Sus scrofa: one gene and its partner. The protein of the gene in region 1 purifies or fractionates together with the protein of each later gene. This does not show direct contact. Links are inferred from orthologs where the notes say so. Each region holds a gene or a part of one and is shown in the gene's direction. Other genes may lie near its edges.

Region 1 (3,817 bases):
ACAGTACATTTGTTTACAACATGTTTTAGTGAATATTTTAAGCCCGCTGTAGAGACCTACTGCTCAGGGGGAAAAAAAAAAAAAAGCCTTTCAAAATATTACTGCTCATTGACAAAGCACCTGGTCGCTCAAGAGCTCTTTTGGAGATGTACATTGTTTTCATGACTGCTAACATAGCATCCATTCTGCAGCCCATGGAGCAAGGAGTAATTTCAACTTTTAAGCAATACATCTTATAAGGCTGTAGCTGCCATAGGTAGTGATTCCTCTGATGGATCTGGACAAAGTCAATTGAAAACCTTCTGGAAAGGATTCTAGATGCTGTTAAGAACATTCATGATTCATGGAAGGAGGTCAAAATATCAACATAAACAGGAGTTCGGAAGAAGTTACTTCTAACCCTCATGAATGAGTTTGAGAGGTTCAGGACTTTAGTGGGGGAAGTAACTACAGTTGTGGAAATAACAAGAGAGCTAGAATTAGAATTGGAGCCTAAAGATGTGACGGAATTGCTGACATCTCATGATAGAACATTAATAAGAAAGTGGTTCTGGGAGTTCCCATTGTAGCCCAGCAGGTTAAGAACCCAGCATTGTCCCTGTGAGAATGTGGGTTCGATTCCTGGCCTCGCTCAGTGTATTAAATATTTGATATTGCCGTAGCTGTGGTGTAGGCCACAGCTGCAGCTCCGATTAGACCTCTTGCCTGGAAACTTATATATGCCACAGGAGCAGCTGTAAAAACAAAAAAAGAAAGTGGTTTCTTGAGATAGAATCTACTCCTGGTGAAGATGCTGTGGGATTGATGAAATGACAGTGAAGGATTTAGATAGAATATTACATAAATTTAGTTGATAAAACAGGGCTAGGGAGGACTGCCTCCAATTTCGAAAGAAGTTCTAATGTGGGTAAAATGCTGCCTGTGTGAGAGTCAGTCAAAATAGCAAACTTCACTATTGCCTTACTTTAAGAAAATTGCTGCAGCCACCCAAGCCTTTAGCAACCACTGCCCTGATCAGTCAGCAGCCATTAACATCAAGGCAAGACCCTCCACCAGCAAAGATATTATGACTTGCTGAAGGTTCAGATAATGGTTAGCATTGTTTAGCCGTACAGTGTTTTTTTAATTAAGGTACGTATTTTTTTTTTTCAGATGTAATGTTGTTGCATGCTTAACAGACTACAGTATAGTGTAAACATAACTGTTACATGCACTGAGAAACTAAAGACTTCCTGTGACTTACTTTATTGCAGTTTGCTTCCTTGTGGTGGTCTGAAACCCAACTTGCAGTATCTCCAAGGTGCCTGAACTTTTATATTATTTTATATATTTATTTTGCCTTTTCTAGGGCCGCTCCCTCGGCATATGGAGGTTCCCAGGCTAGGGGTCTAATCGGAGCTGTAGCCTCTGGCCTATGTTAGGGCTGCAGCAACTCGGGATCCGAGCCGAGTCTGCCACCTACACCACAGCTCACAGCAACGTGGGATCCTTAACCCACTGAGCAAGGCCAGGGATTGAACCCACAACCTCATGGTTCCTAGTCGGATTCGTTAACCACTGTGCCATGACAGGAACTCCCCTGCCTGAACTTTTAAATTGTATAAAAGTGACTAAAGGAAAAGCATGATAATTTTTATCAGACAATGTTTTAATTGCCTTTTTTATTGTGTGCCTATTTAATTCCTGTAATAGAGCCATAAATATCATGGATTATAAATAGCTGCTTACATAAATAATGTATCCTCTCTCCCTCTCTTCTCTCAAGATTGAAAAGGCCAAACCCATTAAATGTGGAACATTTGGTGCAACATCTTTACAGCAGAGATATTTAGCTACTGGGGATTTTGCTGGAAACCTTCATATATGGTAAGATTATTTCATCAGTGTTGAGACATGAGATAAGCAATTTCTTTGATAGTCTAGTTATTCTTCCTCTGAAAGAATTCTAATTTTAAAATGTTTCAAATTTACCAGATTTTAAACTTTAACTGTTTATAAGAATGACAATTACTTTTCAATATCTATTTTTAGATTTCATGTTTAAAATCCATTTTAAGACACTAGCATATTTATCTTTAGATATTTCAAATGATGTTATTAGTATTTATTTCCATCCATGCTATTTAATGCTAGCATTTAATACCCATATTTGTAAATAAAGGGCTATTCCTCTTCAGCATGAAGGATGCAGTATATAAAAATGCTCACATGGGAGTTCCCATCATGGCACAGCAGAAATGAATCTGACTAGGAACCATGAGGACACAGGTTCGATCCCTGGCCTCACTCAGTGGGTTAAGGATCCGGTGTTGTCGTGAGCTATGGTGTAAGTGGCAGCTGCAGCTCTGATTTGACCCCTGGCCTGGGAACCTCCATATGCCGTGGGTGCGGCCCTAAAAAAGGCAAAAAAAAAAAAAAAAAAAAGAAGCTAAAAAAGCTCAAATGTAACACTGAAAAATTAGATATTGTTTACATTTTAAGATGATATTTGGCATTACAGAATGATACACTGTATTTTTGTATGTTTTAATTTTTTCCTCCAATTCATTAAATTTTTTTTCCTTTTTTTTATGTTTTAGCTAACATCTGAGCACAGCTTTTTAGGAACACATCTGTTGAGTAAATCAAGATAAACCTGTTTTGAATGAGCAAAATCACAATTGTGCCAGTTGCTTTTAATTTTCATGTTTTACATAGAGTTATTTCCTCATTTTTAAATGAGTTGAATGAACTGAAATTCCTCTCATTACTTTTGAAGAAAATCTCTTAAATCATTTAAAGTATGCAGTAATTTTTTGGAAGAACTATCTTCCCTACCTTATGTTTTCTATTGTGACCTTTCTTGATTCTAACTTAGAATCTATTACTTTGTAATTAAACTACTTTGACATATTTATCTGTCTTAAAGTCATAGTATAACAAGAATGGAACGATTTTCCTTCCCTATGCTTTAACTACTTAAAAGTTAAGTTAGCATTTATTAGGATGCATTCGTTTTTACCTGTTTGGTCATATACTTTCAAAGAACTTGGGAGAGAGAGCAGTCTGAGTGGTTTGGTTTGTTTTGTTTTGTTTTTGGGTGTGCCCGTGGCATGTGGCAGTTCCTGGACCAGGGATCAAACTCGCACCACAGCAGTGACCCAGGCCACTGCAGGGATGCTGGATTCTTAACTCCGCTGAACCACAGTGGAACTCCTGGGTGTTATTTATTTATTTATTTATTTATTTTGGTTTTTTGGCTTTTCTGGGGCCGCTCCCGCAGCACATGGAGGTTCCCAGGTCAGAGGTCGAATCGAAGCTGTAGCTGCCGGCCTACCCCAGAGGTCAGAGGTTGAATCGAAGCTGTAGCTGCCGGCCTACCCCAGAGCCACAGCAAGGTGGGATCCGAGCCACCTCCGCAACCCACACTACAGCCCACGGCAACTCCGGATCCTCAACCCACTGAGCAAGGGCAGGGACTGAACCCACAACCTCATGGTTCCTAGTTGGAATTCGCTAACCACTGCACCACAACGGGAACTCCCTGGGTGTTATTTTTTAAAATAAATATATTTTAGCACAAGAATATGCAGCAGATATAACTATTGACTCTCTTGCTAATAGAGCTTCCTAGGATAGTGCAGGTATTACTGTCTTACTTTCATTGGTAAGTCATAAGCTCACATGAAAAGAAGTGATGTTTCAAAGTCTGGCACCAAGATCAACATCATCTGTAAACTAGGTTGAACTTCTCAAATTTTGATTTGCAAGATTTTACTAATAAACCTGGGCCTGATAATAAATTGGGATTATATGTCATGAAGAGCTGGTTCACTGA
Region 2 (4,342 bases), on another chromosome or scaffold:
AGCAACACAGGATCCAGGCCGCCATCTGTGACCTACATCACAGCTCACGGCAACACCGGATGCTTAACCCACTGAGCAAGGCCAGGGATCGAACCTGTGTCCTCATGGATACTAATCAGATTTGTTCGTTTCTGCTGAGCCACGACGGGAACTCCAATCAAAGTCTGGTTTTAAGGGAAAGGAAGCAGGGCCTCTGACACACACCTCTTCTGTTAGTAGGATGACTAGAATGCTGCTCCATCTGAACACCTACAGGTGTGGTGCCTGGGAAAGAATCACAACATCACATGACCAACAACCCATGCTATTATTTTACTATTAACAATTTCATATAAGTTCTCCCCAGCACATATCAGGCTGCTCCAGTTTGGGAAGGAAAAAGTATGAAAGGGTGTGTACTGTTCTATTTTATGGCCAAACATAAGTAACTGTTCTTGAATTGTTCGTGCTCTCATCCTTTCACTAAAAAACAAAACAAAACAAAAAACTGTTTCTAGTAATGTTTCTTTTCTCTGGACAAAACAGTACTTTAACTACGCCCAAACTTTAAGCGTCTCCTAAAAATGTGGGCAAATACTGTGTTCTCCCCTAGTTTTGATTTCTGCGGGATCAGCCCTTTTCCTATCCTGTAAGGTAACTTAAAAACTCTGGTTCTCCAACATCTCTAATGGACCAGTAGCTGAGGGCATGAGGAGGGCAGGGGAAAGAATGGACACGGATAAAGAAAATCTGAGAGCACTAGAGGAAAACACTTGAGAAAATGTTTTACATAGGATAACTCGAGGGGTCGGTAAGCCAGCACTCTCAGGTACCATTCACGGCCTCAATAGATAGTATTTGCCTAAGAGGGAAAGGTCCATGCATAGGAACGAGTCAGAGGCAGTAAACCACAACTCCCAGCGTGCCCAGAAGGCTAGTTACCGCCCAGCTCAGTCTGATCGGACTACAACTCCCATTCCACCCCGCATCAAAGGGGCCAGGTGTTCTCTCAACTGCCGGTTTAGGTCCCGCCCCTTCTAGTCCTCCCCGTAGCCAAAGCTGGAACGAAAGCATGGAAACTGTCAAGTCATTCTCCACCTTGGCGTCCGAAAGGAGTCGAGACGCATGAGTTTAATGACCTCACCTGCGGTGTTAATGGAAAGCCTCTACCCCAGCACCCACCCTTATAGTTGACACACATGCGCAGTGGCGTTCCGGCCAACTACCCGATCCTTGGCGCTTGCGCCAAGGTTCGCGCCGCACGCGGCCGGGAGCGGCCACCCCATTGCGCAAGCGCCTCTGCCCTCTCATTGCCATCACCGTGCTCTCTCTACCTAGCTTGCCCCGCGTTCTTGCGTAGGGGGCGGGGCTAAGAATGTCAATTGGCCTGTTTCCGTGCCGGTCAGTGAGATGGGTGCGGTGATTGGGGGCGCCCGGGAGGGTAGCGGGGTTGGGTGTAAGCCCTGAGGAGGCAGCGTTTTCTGGGCTTCTCGCTGGTTCTCTCTCTCCAGAAGGTTCTGCCGGTTCCCCCTGCTTTGGGTACCCGGCTCTGCATCGCGCCGCCATGATGGGCCATCGTCCGGTGCTCGTGCTTAGTGAGTTTTGGGAAAGCTGGGGAAGGGACCCCCTCTTCATCTCCCTCTTTCGGCACTTTACAGCCTTGCCTCAGCCCAGTCCCGCCCTGGTCCGGCCCCTGAGCCTTCCAGTCGTTCATTTTGGAAGCCCCTTCTGCTTTCCTGTCTACCCTTAACGTATTCCCATGTCTACACAAACGCAAACTGACCTTTCTCTCTCGAGCCTCATTTTTCCGGGCTCTGGCCTCGGGAAGATGCTTCCCACTCGGCATTCTGTTCTTCACCTCCAACCCCCGCCCTTGCAACCTTCTTTGAGTGATTTTCAGTGTGCAGTTTTGTGACTAACGGCTTTTAAGTTTGGCCTAGCATTTTAACCTTGGCCCATCCCTTAGTAGTGGTGTGGCGTCAGCCACGTTGTTTGATTGAAACGTTTCCATCTTTATTATTAGGATTAACTATTTTCCCGTAAGATTGTGACTCAAGTGAGATAAGTAGAGACAATTGCTTAAAAGAGCGAGTGGTAGCCTTGGTTATTTGTATTTTCAGTAATTGTCCTCTTGAATTTCCATTCTGCAACTTCTGTTCCTCAAGTAACCCTACCTTCCTCACTGGTTTATCTTAGATGTAGTTATTCCCTTGATATCCCCTCCGTGGTAATCTTTCCCACTTACCAACTGAGTTTTCCCACATTTTTCCATTGGGTCTCTTTACCTATGGGGAATGAGTCGCATTTCTGTTGTCTTCCTCGGGTATGTTTCTGTTCTGTGTAATCTCAGCCTTATTAGTCATTTTCCGTCCCTCTCTTATGCGTGTAGAATGCTATCGATTTTCTGTATACCTGGAAAATAACTGTTTGCAAACAAGAATCCACTTAACCCAGAAAAAAAAACCAATTTTTTTCTGATGAATCCAATCAGAAAGGTCCATGCAGGATTTTGGTTATCAGTGCCTGAAATAGGAATCTAAATCCTGAGAACTGTGAATGAATGTTTAGGTTTGATGGGTGGGAAATTTTACAACAAACTGTAGGGAAGTATAATTTGGAGAGAGGAGTGAAATAAACATTCTTTTGATTCAGGTATAGCCATTGAGAGGGCCCTAAGGTGAGTAGTGCGTTGTTCAGCTCTTTTGAGGTCGGAGTTAATCCCTTGCATTAGCGGCCCTAACCTATTAGACTTCCTATTAAAACATGTAGGTCACACTTACTGATGGTCAGTGGGTTCCTGAGGCATTCTGGTTATGTCCAAGCATGAAGTGATTGTATCTCGCAAACCCAGATGCTTTTGAGTGTGTGTTCTCATTCCATAGCACACAGGGGAGAAGGGGGGAGGAACTATTTAATAATTACGCTGGGAATGTCAGTATGATTCTGTGTACCCAATTATGAGGACATGAATCCCCCAAGTTTTCCTTTTTACATAAGGGAGTGATTGATGCTTTTTTAGGGTCACCAGGTCTTTAAAAATCTGATGGATCTTAGGTTATGAATCCTTGTTATACATACATGAATATTTGATTAGAGAGAAAGTGATGACTAAGATTCCAAAGTTGAAGCTTTATGAATTGTTTCTTAGTATACCAGGAGTTGAAGTAAAGAAAGAAATAAGTATGTATGTTTACTTATTAACAGCTCGTTGAGGTGCAATTGATATACAAAAAGTTGCACATATTTGAAGAGTATAAGTTGGTAAGCTTTGATCAGTGTATACATCTGGGAAACCAGTATGTGTTTTTGTTTTTTTTTTTTTTTTTTGTTTGCTTCTTAGGGCCAAACCCGCGGCATATAGACGTTCCCAGGCTAGGGGTCCAATCCGAGCTGCAGCTGCTGGCCTAGGCCACAGCCACAGCAATGTGGGATCCAAGCCTCATCTTCGACCTACACCACAGCTCACTGCAACGCCAGATCCTTAACCCACTGAGCAAGGCCAGGGATCGAACCCAAAACCTCATGGTTCCTAGTTGAGTTCATTTCCGCTGCACCACCAGGGAAACTCCTGTTTTTATTTTCAAAGATTGGGAAATAAATGAATAACTTATATACAATGGGGCAGTCCTGGACTATTGCCTTTTGTTTTTATCTGTTTTAGGCCAGAACACAAAGCGTGAATCTGGAAGAAAAGTTCAGTCTGGAAACATCAATGCTGCCAAGGTAGCCTATCTTATAAGTTGTCTGCCTCTAGCTATCTTCCCTGGTGTTTCAGTTTTTGTGATTTGACAGAGGAAAAGTTGACTTCCTTTCCCTCTTGGTGGTAAAGAAAAGGAATCATTTTCTCTCTGAGCTGGGCCTAACGGTCTACTCAAATTAACTTTTGCGAATTCTGTTCCTGTATACTATCTCATAATATTCTATTTGTGTTTATCTCCCATACTAGATGGAATTACTTGGAAGGAAGAACTATATTCACTTTTATATTCCTAATATTTGCTATAGCTCTTGAATAGGTATCTACAGTAAATGCTTTTTGAATGAAACAATGAAATAGCCCTAGATCTAATTTAGCATGAGGTAGAGGCCACTATCATGGAAAGAAATACAAGTACATGGACTTTCAGTTATCTAGATTGCTGGGAAGCTGAAGCACTGGGAGGCGTGTCCCCCCTCCTTTTTTTTCCTTTTTTTTTTTTTAACTTTTTAAAGCCCAGCTCATGGCATATGGAGGTTCCCAGGGTAAGGGTTGAATTGGAGCTACAGCTGCCAGCCTACACCATAGCTCATGGCAACCCCAGATCCCTGACCCACTGAGCGAGGCCAGGGATCAAACCTGCATCCTCCTGGATACTAGTTGGAT

Evidence for each region.
Region 2: the proteins of WDR92 (region 1) and CCT3 purify together in Homo sapiens (affinity purification with mass spectrometry; 3 studies listed by BioGRID and IntAct, counting the BioPlex papers as one, with this or other methods). This does not show direct contact. The link is inferred for Sus scrofa from reciprocal best matches to the Homo sapiens genes DNAAF10 and CCT3.

Annotation. Positions count from the first base shown.
Region 1 is NC_010445.4:74,091,463-74,095,279, forward strand, and holds part of WDR92 (WD repeat-containing protein 92), read left to right. Parts: intron 1-1,765; coding exon 1,766-1,866; intron 1,867-3,817. UniProt on the Homo sapiens protein: Key assembly factor specifically required for the stability of axonemal dynein heavy chains in cytoplasm.
Region 2 is NC_010446.5:93,732,549-93,736,890, forward strand, and holds the start of CCT3 (T-complex protein 1 subunit gamma), read left to right. Parts: upstream 1-1,418; 5' UTR 1,419-1,543; coding exon 1,544-1,574; intron 1,575-1,762; exon of another isoform or gene 1,763-2,481; intron 2,482-3,640; coding exon 3,641-3,702; intron 3,703-4,342. Other genes in the region: TSACC (TSSK6-activating co-chaperone protein), read right to left, coding at 205-264, 1,162-1,180. UniProt on the Homo sapiens protein: Component of the chaperonin-containing T-complex (TRiC), a molecular chaperone complex that assists the folding of actin, tubulin and other proteins upon ATP hydrolysis.